Linked DNA regions of Xenopus tropicalis. The protein of the gene in region 1 binds, or shares a complex with, the protein of each later gene. Links are inferred from orthologs where the notes say so. Each region holds a gene or a part of one and is shown on either strand. Other genes may lie near its edges.

The links.
Region 2: arpc1b (region 1) and arpc5 share a complex: the UniProt entries of both Homo sapiens proteins name them as parts of the arp2/3 complex. The link is inferred for Xenopus tropicalis from reciprocal best matches to the Homo sapiens genes ARPC1B and ARPC5.
Region 3: the proteins of arpc1b (region 1) and arpc5l are in contact, whole or in part, in a cryo-EM structure (PDB 6YW6), measured with the Homo sapiens proteins. The link is inferred for Xenopus tropicalis from reciprocal best matches to the Homo sapiens genes ARPC1B and ARPC5L. Residues at the interface, in NP_005711.1 of Homo sapiens: Arg118, Lys138, Arg142, Phe164, Ser201, Gly203, Trp204, His222, Asp223, Ser224, Thr225, Leu240, Ala241, Ser242, Glu243, Thr244, Leu245, Pro246, Phe281; in NP_112240.1 of Homo sapiens: Asn21, Lys22, Arg102, Gly139, Leu140, Gly141, Ile144, Arg145, Thr148, Arg150, Lys151.

The regions. Positions count from the first base shown.
Region 1 is NC_030685.2:41,828,934-41,832,656, reverse strand, and holds part of arpc1b (actin-related protein 2/3 complex subunit 1B), read right to left. Parts: intron 2,808-3,723; coding exon 2,585-2,807; intron 1,045-2,584; coding exon 937-1,044; intron 1-936. UniProt on the Homo sapiens protein: Component of the Arp2/3 complex, a multiprotein complex that mediates actin polymerization upon stimulation by nucleation-promoting factor (NPF).
Region 2 is NC_030680.2:99,902,984-99,907,401, reverse strand, and holds the start of arpc5 (actin-related protein 2/3 complex subunit 5), read right to left. Parts: upstream 2,933-4,418; 5' UTR 2,906-2,932; coding exon 2,766-2,905; intron 1,637-2,765; coding exon 1,564-1,636; intron 1,194-1,563; coding exon 1,017-1,193; intron 1-1,016. UniProt on the Homo sapiens protein: Component of the Arp2/3 complex, a multiprotein complex that mediates actin polymerization upon stimulation by nucleation-promoting factor (NPF).
Region 3 is NC_030684.2:28,257,924-28,262,188, reverse strand, and holds the start of arpc5l (actin-related protein 2/3 complex subunit 5-like protein), read left to right. Parts: upstream 1-1,324; 5' UTR 1,325-1,658; coding exon 1,659-1,804; intron 1,805-4,265. UniProt on the Homo sapiens protein: May function as component of the Arp2/3 complex which is involved in regulation of actin polymerization and together with an activating nucleation-promoting factor (NPF) mediates the formation of branched actin networks.

The DNA.
Region 1 (3,723 bases):
CTTCCTCCTTCCGTGTTTCTTCTGCGGCGAAATCCCTGGGCATGCGCAGTAGAGTGAAAAGCCGACTTTTTTGTTAGAGTTCGGCTTTTCACTCTCATGCATGAACACGGAGGGGGAACCGCTCGCTGCAGCTACCCTGGGCTAGTGCGGTTTTCTCCTAACAGGGGCACCAGCCTGGGGTAAAAGGTAAGCAATTAAAGTCACTTGGGGATGCCTAAAATTTTGGCTTAGCCTTTCCTTCTCCTTTAACATGTTCAAGCAAACCACTAACTGCATTTTGTTTTTGTTTTTGTTTTTTTAAATAAACCTAATGTTACTATTTTTTCAAATGAAATGCTGCCCATTTCAAGGACATTTCCCCAAGCACTTGTGACCAACGTGTATGCACATTTTTTTTTTCTTTCTAGAGCAGCAGGGGTACTATAAGGATAAAACTATATAACCATAGTAAGAATTTCAGGTCTGCATTTTCCCTTGTTTACAATTATTACTACTACATTTTACTACATTTATTTACAAAGCACCAACATATTCTTCAACATTGTGCAATAGGGTACATCATTATTTAACATGCAAGCAAGCCAATAGAGTATGTAATGATTGCTGATCATCTTTGATTTATTGAGGGCAATTAACCTCTCCATGGGGCATTAGCCTAAGAATAATCAGATATTGAAACTTTTTCTCTAGCATCTGGACATACTAGATATGGCAGAAATGTATTCCTATTTTATGGGAATGTTTTTTTTTGTGTACCCAGCTTCTGATTATTACGCTGTCTAAACAATCAAGAATTTGCATCTCTATACATCAACAAGCATCTTCCCTTGGCTTCAAATCAGCTTCTGATTCTTTGTATCCAAAACTTCCTTCTTTATAGGGAATCAACCCTAGAGTATATTTTAATTTTGCATAGGTGCTTCAGCACAGTCATACCTGCTCTTAAAATCACTGGACCCAGCTGCCAGAAGAACATTGTTTGGATGCCAATCCAGACTCAGGACCGTTGAGCGTATTGGTTTCTTGATGTGCTTACACACCCACCTACATTGAAACAATAAAAACTGTATTAATAAATATGCAAGAGGACAATAGACTAAATTACTTTATTCATCAGTAGATCATCAAGAAGATACAGCGGCATCCACTGAGATTATAAAAACAGAGGATTCATTTTTTAATTTAGGTGCTAAATGGTTTTACAGTGAGATTGGATAAGATGTGGAATGCTCTCCCTAAACTCTTTGTACTGGCAGATACATAAGGTAGAATCTATTGGAGAGAAGTCTAAGGACAATGACACACAGGGAGATATGTTACCCGTGTTTAAAAAAAGAAAAAAAAAAACCCTACCACAGGTGACAAATCTCCCTAAAAAGCCTTATCCTATGCTAACATTGGAATCGCTGTAAGTAAATTACATTACTCACCGCGATTCGGCTCTTAATCATAGGAAAATGCAAAAGCAGGCATTTCTCTGCTCTTAAAGCCGAATTGTAAGTAAGCATAATATATTGTGTCGATTGCAAGGTTAGTAAAGGGCAAGGCATTTTAGGAGAGATTTGTTACCCACTATTTTTTTACGGGGGCAACAAATCTCCCCATGTGTCATTGCCCTTAAACAACTGAATGGAGTACTCCTGAAACTGTTTCACTGCTCATGCCGTGGCTTCTTCAGGTAAGTAGTAGTTGGTACCTGTCACCCAGAGATAAAAATCTGTATAATAAATGTCCTTTCGGCAGCTTACCTAAGGGGACCCCCGATGGCCCTACCTGACTCATATCTGTGTGAAAATCACAGGTGTCAATCCAACAGGTTTCATTTTTTTAGTCAGATTTTTTTAGTCAGACCACATTGGCTCAGTGATGTGGTCCTCACGCCAACCACTCCTTCCTCCTATCTAAGGCCAAATGATCAAATTAGCCTGATATCTCCCACTTTAGGTGGGCATATAGGGGAAAGATCTGCTCATTTGCTGATCTCGCCAACTAACAAATCTTTCTCCCAATATGGCGATATCAGGCTAACTCGATCATTTGGCCCTAGGGCCAAACAATCAAATTAAAATGATAGATATAGGAGCTATTGAAGAAAGGGCTGAATGAATGAGCCAATGCGGTCCCCGATCCGACAGCGATGCCTGATTGACAAATTGACCAATTTTTGCCCTGATATTGGTCGGGAAAGCCCATTAAGAATCTCCAGACACGAGCAGGTATGCTACCAAATTGGTCTGAATGACTTGAGAATTGGCAGCTTAAATATGCCCATGTATGGTCACCTTAAGGATACATGGCATAAAAATGTTTTTACCTCAACTCTACTACGCTTTTCACACGCATAAAATACGGATGGCCATAATCCCTTCCACAAGCACCTATAATAATGAGCTGAAAATGCATGCAAGCTTGCACGTTAGTCTCAAAGGGGGAACAATAGAAGCCACATTTGGGCTGTTAAAAAAGGTAACGGGTAAAATGCAAAGGTAAAATGCCCTTGCCTGAACAATTGTCCTGAAAAATGCACCTAAGATAAAGCTTACTTTTAAATAAATCTAGTTACTCTATATTTTTCTACAGTTACCAATCATTTTCCTGCTCGAAGTAGCAGATGGAAATTAGCCTGGATCCACTGCCCACTGCAAACTTGTTCTCCTTAGGTGACCACTTTACACAACGTGCAGCACGGTTAATCCTGAGAATGACCAGTGTCGGTTTCCACACATTGTTTCTTAGAGTCCACACATAGGCATTACGATCCGTACCACAGGTTACAATGCGATTGCTGTCAGGAGCCCAGTCAATACCTTGGACCAGGGAAAAATAAAAATGTCAAGTTTGATAGCTTTTTAAACCATACATATTATATCACATTATTATTATATGGGCAGGGCGCTCTTTGCATCTTGTATTGGTTATTGACTGCTTTGTATGTAAATCAGCGCTTTTACTCCCTTCCATTCAAATGAATTTGGTGGACCCATATTTGTTATTATCTTTGTAAATATCGGTCATATATTTTATTTAGATTCAGCGTTTTGTATTTTGCATGTTTATTTATATACATATATTTCAGTCTTTATAACTTTGCAGGGTGAACAGCCAAATTTTGAGTATTCAGCAATAAATATTCTGTGACCGGCACACCCTTTAAAAACATCATAAGTTTATTGTAGACATATTGTTTAAAAGAATCCAACGTTTCGGTCCTCAATAGGACCTTTCTCAAGGATAAAACAATAGTGTTCAAACCAACCTTAAATACACTCTTATATCAACAGACCATTATGCAATTATCCAATTTTCTTGTGAATGTGCAAATTCAAATGGGCCAATCTCTGACCATCAACAGTGCATATTATATCATCATAAATAATTATAAATTGTTACATCATAAAATAAGTGCTTAATTAAAAAAATATTGAATATTACACAATAGTGTAATAACATAGTTACCATACAGTATAAATTCTTAAAAGTGCAATATTAAAAATAGAATTATTAAAAGTGTAATATTCACCAATTATATCATCTAAGGCAGGGCTGTCCAACTAGTGGCCGTGGGCCGAGACCCCCCTCTCTGTGGTCCCCCACCTGTCTGGCTGCTTTGATGGCTTACCATTGTGGAAGCTTTAAAGGGGACCTGTCACCTTAAGAAATAATTCCAAATTGATTTCTATTGTGTTTGTCAAGCAAAATAAACTTTACTTACACTATATAAAT
Region 2 (4,418 bases), on another chromosome or scaffold:
TTCAGCTAATTGGTAATGTTGCCTTATTTTTTTTAATACAAAAGTACCCATAAGGAGTTTATTTAAAAGGTTTTGTCAATACATTAGCATTCTGACCAAACGTGACAGCTGTATAAAGAAGAGGCTGTGCTATCATTTATTCCTGTCCCTCTAGATTCAGTGACAACATTTTGTCAATCTGGACAGACCCTGCTTGGGTTTGTCCAACTATTTTGTTAAAGCCATATTTTAGTTTTGCCATAAAGAAGAAACTCGAAAAATCGGATTGGAAACGAACATTTTGCGATTTTTTCGTGAATTGTCGCAAATTGTTGCAACTTTTTCGTAGCCGTTACGACTTTCGCGAGTTGTCGCAACTTTTTCGTATTGAGCGCTTTCGTACTCGGCACGAGAGTACGATTTTTTCGCGACGGAAAAGTCGCGACGGCGACAAAAAAAATCTCAAAATACAGATCATTACAAATTAGTAAATTTGCCCCTAGGAGTTAAATCCTTGTGTACATGCTCCCTCACTGAACAAGTTTTGGGAGGGCATGAAGTGTGCTGTTAACAGTGTTCCAAAACTGCTCAGTTACTGCTACCACTCAAAAATATAGAATCAGATTTCATGGATAATTTTGTCCCTAACAACTGCTGCTAGGGGAGACCTACAGGGTCTGAAACATTTTTAGAAGAGGGATCAGCATTAAAAGGTATCTACTTATATGGGAAGGCACTGTATGCCTTTAAAGAATAAGTAAACCTTTTTTTTTTTTTTTTTAATCTAAATTTACTCTAAAATTACTCTGTTTAGCCCCCAGAATAACATACCTTTTTTCCCTGCATCCAGAATTACTTTGTCTCTCTATTACAAGCAGATGAGCTGCATCTCTTTTACCGGCTTCCTTGTCTAGTGTGAAGCCCCGCCCCTTTTGCTTTATGAGTCCCCCTTTCTCTCTCTCCGACTATGATGACCTAATAGAGGTGCCTACTCTGCATGCCTGATGTGTTTGTCAGCTCCATAGTACTTTGCTCACCTTCTCATGCCACTGCAACAAGACAGCACTGCTGTTGTCAGACGGACTCTCAAAGCCCTTGTAGATGTATTTCATTAAGAGGTCCATGTTATTTTTGTCTAAAGATTGAACAGCCTTTTCTATGTCATTAGCTTTAAAGGAGATTAGAACTTTCAGCACCAGGTGCTCAGCTCGATCCTAAGTAAAAAGCAATGATAAAGTCAATGTCCATACTCCAAAATTTAAAATAAAGAGTTAGAAAATTGTAAAACTGTATTGGAAAACTTGCTGGTATGACCAACTGAGTAGTGGCTGATTATTGGTACAGAATGCATTAAGTGCAGCAAAATAAGTTTGGCTGAAAGTAAGATATGAATATAATTTATAAAATAGTGTGGCAATAAAACTATTGGCAGGAGGAACAAAAAGCAAAGAGGAAGTAAGCACTGACTGATGTATATTCTGTACCCAATACGCCACTTTATAACTACCTTATTTATCCTTCAGCAAATAATAAGCAAATGAATAACAATTTGTTTCCTGTTGTATTTTACTAGAAGCATATTACCTTGGCAGACTGATTCTTGGTATTAATTGGTGGGTTCTTTAGAGCAGCTTGCAGAGCTCCCATCATGTTTCCTGTAGCAAGCTGTTAAGGGAATAACGTACTGACACAAAAGAAATGCCATACAATAATTACAGAACAATTTCAGTTGATGCTTTATATTCACAGATCCCTATATGGCCCTGGCCTAATATTAGCATAAATCTGAAAAAGCCTACTGTGCATATATATGGAAATATGGTCTGAATTGAAAATGTGTTAAAACTAATGAAAAAAATATAGATCTGGGACAAAAGTGTAAAAAAAGCCAACCAAGCAGAAGTTCCCATGCTTCCTGATGACTGAGACTGAGCCACTTCCTGCATTCCTAAACCTGAAGCAAGACCAAGCTTGCCTCACAAAAACATATAGCTTGTACTATAACACCACAACGACCAATAACTGCTACAGAACCATCAAGGTGTGTTTAACTGTGTGCTCAACCTGTGTGTAACTTGGCTCAAAGTCCACTATTGTATTATCCACCCTTGGAAACACCGATAAGAAAGCATGTAAATGTATGTGATTTCAAACAGAGAGAGAGTGAGAAAGAAAGTGTTTTTGTTTAGATAGACAGAGAAAAAGAAACAAAATGCACAGGATAAAGTGACTGACACTCCCACAGCCTCACAGCAAGTTCCTCTTTGTAGGAAAAGGAGATTAACTACTGACATTTCCTACACAGCAGAGCCTCTATATACGGTTTGCAAGTATTTTGCTTGCCATAGATCCTTTAGGTATGTAATATGGAGTCAGTGTGCAAACTGGAGTTGGTATGCACAGCTTCTGCATATCCACACATAGCAAATGACAAGGTGCATAGACAAAAGCAAATGTGTATTGACTCCAGTTTGAAAGCTTATTAGGCTACCATATCAGGACTATGCCAGTTTATTCTAGTAGATATTCCTGAAACCTTAGCTTGGAGATCAAACAAAGAGAAGGGTGTAGGGGGAAGTATAGGCTTTGCAAGATGAAGATGAGTACAAAGCATGACAGGAATAGTGGAAACAGTGGCAGTCAGCCCTCTCCATGTGACACCGCACACCTTCAGCATGTTAGCACTATGACACGGTACAGCCCATATGTCAGGCGATTAGGAGCATGTCTGTTCATACAAAGGTACAATGCCAGGCCCTGCCAGCACAGACAACATACAAGGATATCCCCGAATCGCGCTATCAACCTCCCCCTCGTCGGGTCCTTGCTGTCCTTCTCCCGCCTCCTCTTCGTCAACGAATTTGTTCTCATCATATTCATCCACATCTACTTTCCGGAAGCGTGCAGACACCGTATTCTTCGCCATCCCGAACCGGAGACTCTGTGCTGCTGGCAGGGAGCGGTCGTACTCAATGCGCAGGCGCAGCGGCTTCCGCTTTTATTCTCGGCTTCCGGAGACTGTCAGAGCGCTAGTTTTGCTGGTGTGGTTACCTCTGCCGGGATTAAGGCAGTATCAAAGCGTTCAGTCTATTCTGTGGGCTTTACCCAGGCGGGACACTCAGGCTGGGCCCGTGGGTAGTACATTTACCTGGGCGGTGGAGGTGTCAGGGGATAATCAGTTTGGTGTTTTCCAGTGACCTGACCTGTTGCATGGTAAAAAAAACTGTGGCATGGCTTGCTGGACTGCTTTTGTACAGAAAAAAAGGATTTTCTGGCAAAGTCCTCACCGTTTTGTGGGTTTCACGCAGTGCAGGACGGGTGTTTATATAAATCCAGACTAAATAAATAAAGTTAGGTATTGTAAGTGTATTGAGTGCATTTTGTGGAAGTCTGTGTTGCTGCATATGCTGATGGAATATGTGTATTTCCAATAGCATGTTTTATATAATATCCTGTGGTTGTCATCCCCTTAATTCAATGTTCCAATAGTTTATGTAATGGTACTATAGCAATGGCTTGTTGTCAGATCTTGTTATAATGTTAGTGTTTAATATAAAATAGTTTTTGCTTGTTCTACCCCCTCCCCCTTTTCCTTCTGAGCCTCCTCCATTCCTTGGGGCTGTTGCCTCGAGAGGAAACTTTGTCGATTTCAGCGCCGCGTATGGCATCCCACTGGCGATTTACATTCTAGCCGGTGGGATGGCATTTTGGGAAGATTAGTCGCCTGCACCAAGGTAGATTTGTCGCATGGCGACTAATCTCCCCGTCTGTCACAGCCCTTACGAAAGACGTGTAAATATAGAATTAAAAAAAAAAAGAATATCCTGTGGCAGACAATTATTGCCCCCCGGGTTGTGGACCCCTAACAAGTAACATAGTAAGTTAGGTTGAAAAAAGACATATGTCCATCAAGTTCAACCATAATGCCTATATATAACCTGCCTAACTGGTAGCTGATCCAGAGGAAGGCAAAAAAGTTTCCTGCCCAGTTCTCACAGGTGACATAAAACCTCAATATAGCGTCAAACAGTAATAAGAATGGGAACACAGGAGCAACTATGCCCTTCCATTGCCTGACAGGCTTTACTAGGCACACTTTCTTCTTTTTTTGTTGTTAAAAAGACAGATTCTAAAAGTCTTTCTGCATTTGGTTAATATGGTGATTTTATACACAGTAAATTGTCATTCTAGACACCATTTTCATGGATTTGGAGTACCGTTTAAAATCAGTCAATGTGAGTTTTTTTCTCATCATAAGCAACACTTTGGTGGTGTTCATAATGTCAAACTCATGTACAGGCAAAATGTTGCTACTTCAACTTTATGACATAAAAACTCATTTCTATGTAGGGTGGCAATAAAAAAAGCGTCATTTGGACAATTGTAAATTTGTCACATATGCAATTTCTATGTTATTTCAGTTGTTTGGTTTGCAACAG
Region 3 (4,265 bases), on another chromosome or scaffold:
GCAATTCATATGTCCAAGAACAACTCTCATAATTGCAGCTTTTAGTCAGCATTCTAGGGCATTACTTGTAATGATCGGCAGGTAAATTAACAGGAAAGTACAAACCTAGTAATGACCAAATCATGGTATTTTTTTGGCGCTGTCATTTACTGCCATTCTGATATAGTGGATAGTCCAATTGCCAATGCCATATCACCCTTGAAAAAATGATTTATATAATATTGCCAACAATCTGACCTACTAATTCACCACCCACAGGCACTAACTAGCTTCCATGTAAAGATGACCCCTTTGAAACTGGTCTCAAAATCCTGACTATATCACAAACATTGAGAGAAGGCAGGCACTCTGGTAGTTCACGTATCATGTGTTAGCTCAATAAAAGTTTTGTGATTTTACTTTACTTTCTCGTGGACAACCGCTTTTCTTCACTGAACTACCAGAGTGCCTGTCTTCTCTCTGTGTGAGGCAGTCTCCTCAACCTTATTTATTTGTTTGTAGAACCACATGGTGACTCTACCTAAGCTGATCAGAAAACCCTGCACTACACTGATGAGCCCCCAATAAGGGTGAAACCGGTCTGTAGTTGGGAATCTGATCAGCTATTGTCCTGGCTTCAGCTTCAAACCCAGTGGGTGAGCTGTAGCCTATAGGATAAACCCATGTAAATGGGATTTTTTTAAAGAGTCTGGAATTTGTTCCCAGAATTCCTTTTGTTTGCTTTTGTCTGCGTGAGGCAGTCTCCTCAACCTTATTTATTTGTTTGTCTTCTCTCAATGTTTGTGAGATACCCATGATGGCTCCCTCTAGCTGAAGGTCTGGGGCATGAGCACCTGGGCCCATCTATACTATGGGTGAGATTTACGAATTACTTCTGAGCATATGTTTACTTTTTTCTGTATCTTAAAATCCTGACCCTTAATATCCAATTAGCAATTCACTGATGTACCTTCTTTAAGGCTACATATAAATCTGCCTTGTGTGACTACAGCACGCATTTCAATTCCCAAGTAGTGTGGCACAATGTAAGTTTATTTCGTTTAAGGCACCATGCCTCCTCCATACAGTTATTTCTTTTCCGAATGTTGACATCTATGCCCCTAACTACTGTCCCCCAAGCCCCTGGGGTGACGGCCTGAGGAGTTGCTAAGCAACAAGAGGCCGCCATGTTGGCTTCTCGCTTCTCACGCGTTCATGTCAGTGACGCCATTCCGCTTCCGCTACACGCTCCGCCCTGCCGGAGTCACCGGAAGCGGAGGGAGCCGGCTGGACTGGAAGCGAGTGTCCGTGACAGCGGCCAAGCCCCCTTCCCTCTCAGTCGCCACTTCCCTCCCTGGTCACCCCCACCCTGAGTAGCTGCCGTCCGACCTAGCCAGGGAGTAAGCGCCTCAACACCCCCTTTTCATTGGCCTCCGCCCCCTTCCCTCCTCTCTCTCAGCCCCCAATTCCTGTCACACAGCTTCATTGAGAGAATTCATTGAGCCTTACTGTAGCCCCTAGCGATCAGTGGCCGCATTTTTGAAGGGGGTGCGTTTTGCTGTCAGGCTCATTGAGTGTTTGTAGTGGCAGTCGGTTCCTGTCACCTTCCCTGCGCTCACACCCTATCAGGGTGTCACACCCCCTTCCTGTGGGTGCTGCAGCCGGCCGGCTAGCCTAACATGGCCAAGAACACGCTGTCGTCGCGCTTCCGCAAGGTGGACATAGACGAGTACGACGAGAACAAATTTGTTGACGATCAGCTGCAGGAGGAACCGGCCGAGCCTCAGGGGCCCGACGAGGCCGAGGTGGACAGTCTGATCAGGCAATATCCTTTTACTGTATTACTGCACACCTAGGCCATCGCTCATGCTGTAATTACTGGAATGCTTAACCTGCAACCCTCTTGTCAGGGGGGGGGGGGGACTGATAAACAGTTTATTATTTTTTTAATGAAAAATGTTTCTTATGGGTGAAGACACATGTAGCTACTAGTACTTGTCATGGCTACTCAAATAGACAATGCTGATCATTTACTGATACAGGTATCGGACCCCTTATCCGGAAACCCATTATCCATAAAGTTCTGAATTACCAAAAGGCCGTCTCCCATAGACTCCATTGTGATCAAATAATTCACATTTTAAAAAATTATTTCATTTTTCTCTGTAATAATAATACAGTACCTTGTACTTGATCCCAACTAAGATATAATTACCCCTTATTGGGGGCAGAACAGCCCTATTGGGTTTATTTAATGGTTAAATGATTCCCTTTTCTCTGTAATAATAAAACAGTACCTGTACGTGATCCCAACTAAGATATAATTACCCCTTATTGGGGCAGAACAGCCCTATTGGGTTTATTTAATGGTTAAATGATTCCCTTTTCTCTGTAATAATAAAACAGTACCTGTACTTGATCCCAACTAAGATATAATTACCCGTTATTGGGGGCAGAACAGCCCTATTGGGTTTATTTAATGGTTAAATGATTCCCTTTTCTCTGTAATAATAAAACAGTACCTGTACTTGATCCCAACTAAGATACAATTAATTCTTATTAGAGGCAAAACAAGCCTATTGGGTTTATTTAATGTTTAAATAATTTTATTAACATACTTAAGGTATGGAGATCCAAATTACGGAAAGACCCCTTATCTGGAAAACCCCAGGTCATGAGCATTCTGGATAATGGGTCCCATACCTGTAATTGTCTCTATGTGTGCGTTTTAGCAGAGGCAAGTCTCAGTATTGTCTATGGCAGGGTGTTTTCTGGAGTTAAGTAGCCATGAAAAAGTAGCTACTACTAGTAGCTCTGTGTGTCTTCACCCTAAAGCGAGTGGGAGCTAAAAATGTTACGGTGGAGCTAAGTAACTTGCAGCTATGCCCCTGCCTCTAGCAGTTGTTTCTGCACATTTGCCAGTATCACTCTTCGTGCCTCCCTTGTCCTGGGAGTGGTGGGTAACAGCTGGGGGTACGTACATAGTTTAATATGCATTGACTCATCCTTTGCTGATAACAAAGATTCAGTTATAAAAAGCAATGATATGAAAGGCTGTGACAGAACAAGAGGCTGGTCAATCATTGTGAGTGGGAAAGACTGGTAATTGCTGGCCCCATGCAATCCAGTGTTGCAGGTTTATTGATACTTTGCTTACATTCTTTAGCAAACATTATGGCTGTACACATGGTGGTGCTAGTTAGGGGCTGAGCAGTCTGGATGTATGGTTACAACTCCAAGGCTTGTGTTTGTTAGAAGAGAAAAATCCAATCGGCCATTTTAGCTACACCTTGTAGGTATGACTGTAGTTGCGGTATTTATAATTGATTTTAATAAAGGCATGTACTGAATCCTTCATTTTTAGATTCAGCTGAATCCTGCATTAACAATATAGCAGAACGCTGAATCTAAATTGTATTATTACATTTTAACAGAGAAAATCAAATATATCAACCTGGAGGAAAAAAACAGCCCTATTTTAGTTAACTTTTTTAGGTCTCCTTAGTGCTGGCTTAGGTTAGTGATACACAGGGCTGTTTCCCCACCTGCGTAAAAATGGGAACAGGCCAATGCAAGTGGATCCATTCCTTCTTACTAGTGGACTGACCGGCATGTCGGCAGCCTGTGAGCGCAGACAGAAAGTGAATTCCAACAATAAATTCATTATAGGGTGTTGATTGATTCATAAGCCAGAGAAATATACTGCTTAGAATGTCCAAATGCCAGGCCATTGATAGTTTTCTAATGTTACTTATAAAATTTAGGCAAAAGGTACTTCTTTGAAATAAGTTGGTGATGTGGGTTCTCTTAAAGTAACATTAAAAAAAAAAAAATGATGAAGGTATTGAAATATATAACGTACTGCTGCCCTGCACTGGTAAAACTTGTGTGTTTGCTTCACAAACTCTACTACTGTTAAATAAATAAGCTGCTGTGTAGCTATGGGGGTAGGTATTTAGCTTGAAAACAAGAAAAGGCACAGATTGCATATCAGATTTGCTCTGTATCTGTGGCATCTAACCCAGTTTCAACTCGAATGGCAGCCCCCGTGGCTACACAGCTACTTATTTTCAGGCCTGGATTTGTGGGCAAGCCACAAAGGGCCATGCCAAGGGCACCAAGGATCTGGTGGCAGCATGCTGCCCGCTGGCTGCATCTGAACTGGGGACAGGGTGAGAGATTTTGCTAGCTGTTTAAATCTCCCTTGGCCCTCAATGTTTTTCTGCTTCAAAGTTCACATTTTTCATGCAGCACAGCTCTCTGATGTTATACGGTTTGTTAAGATT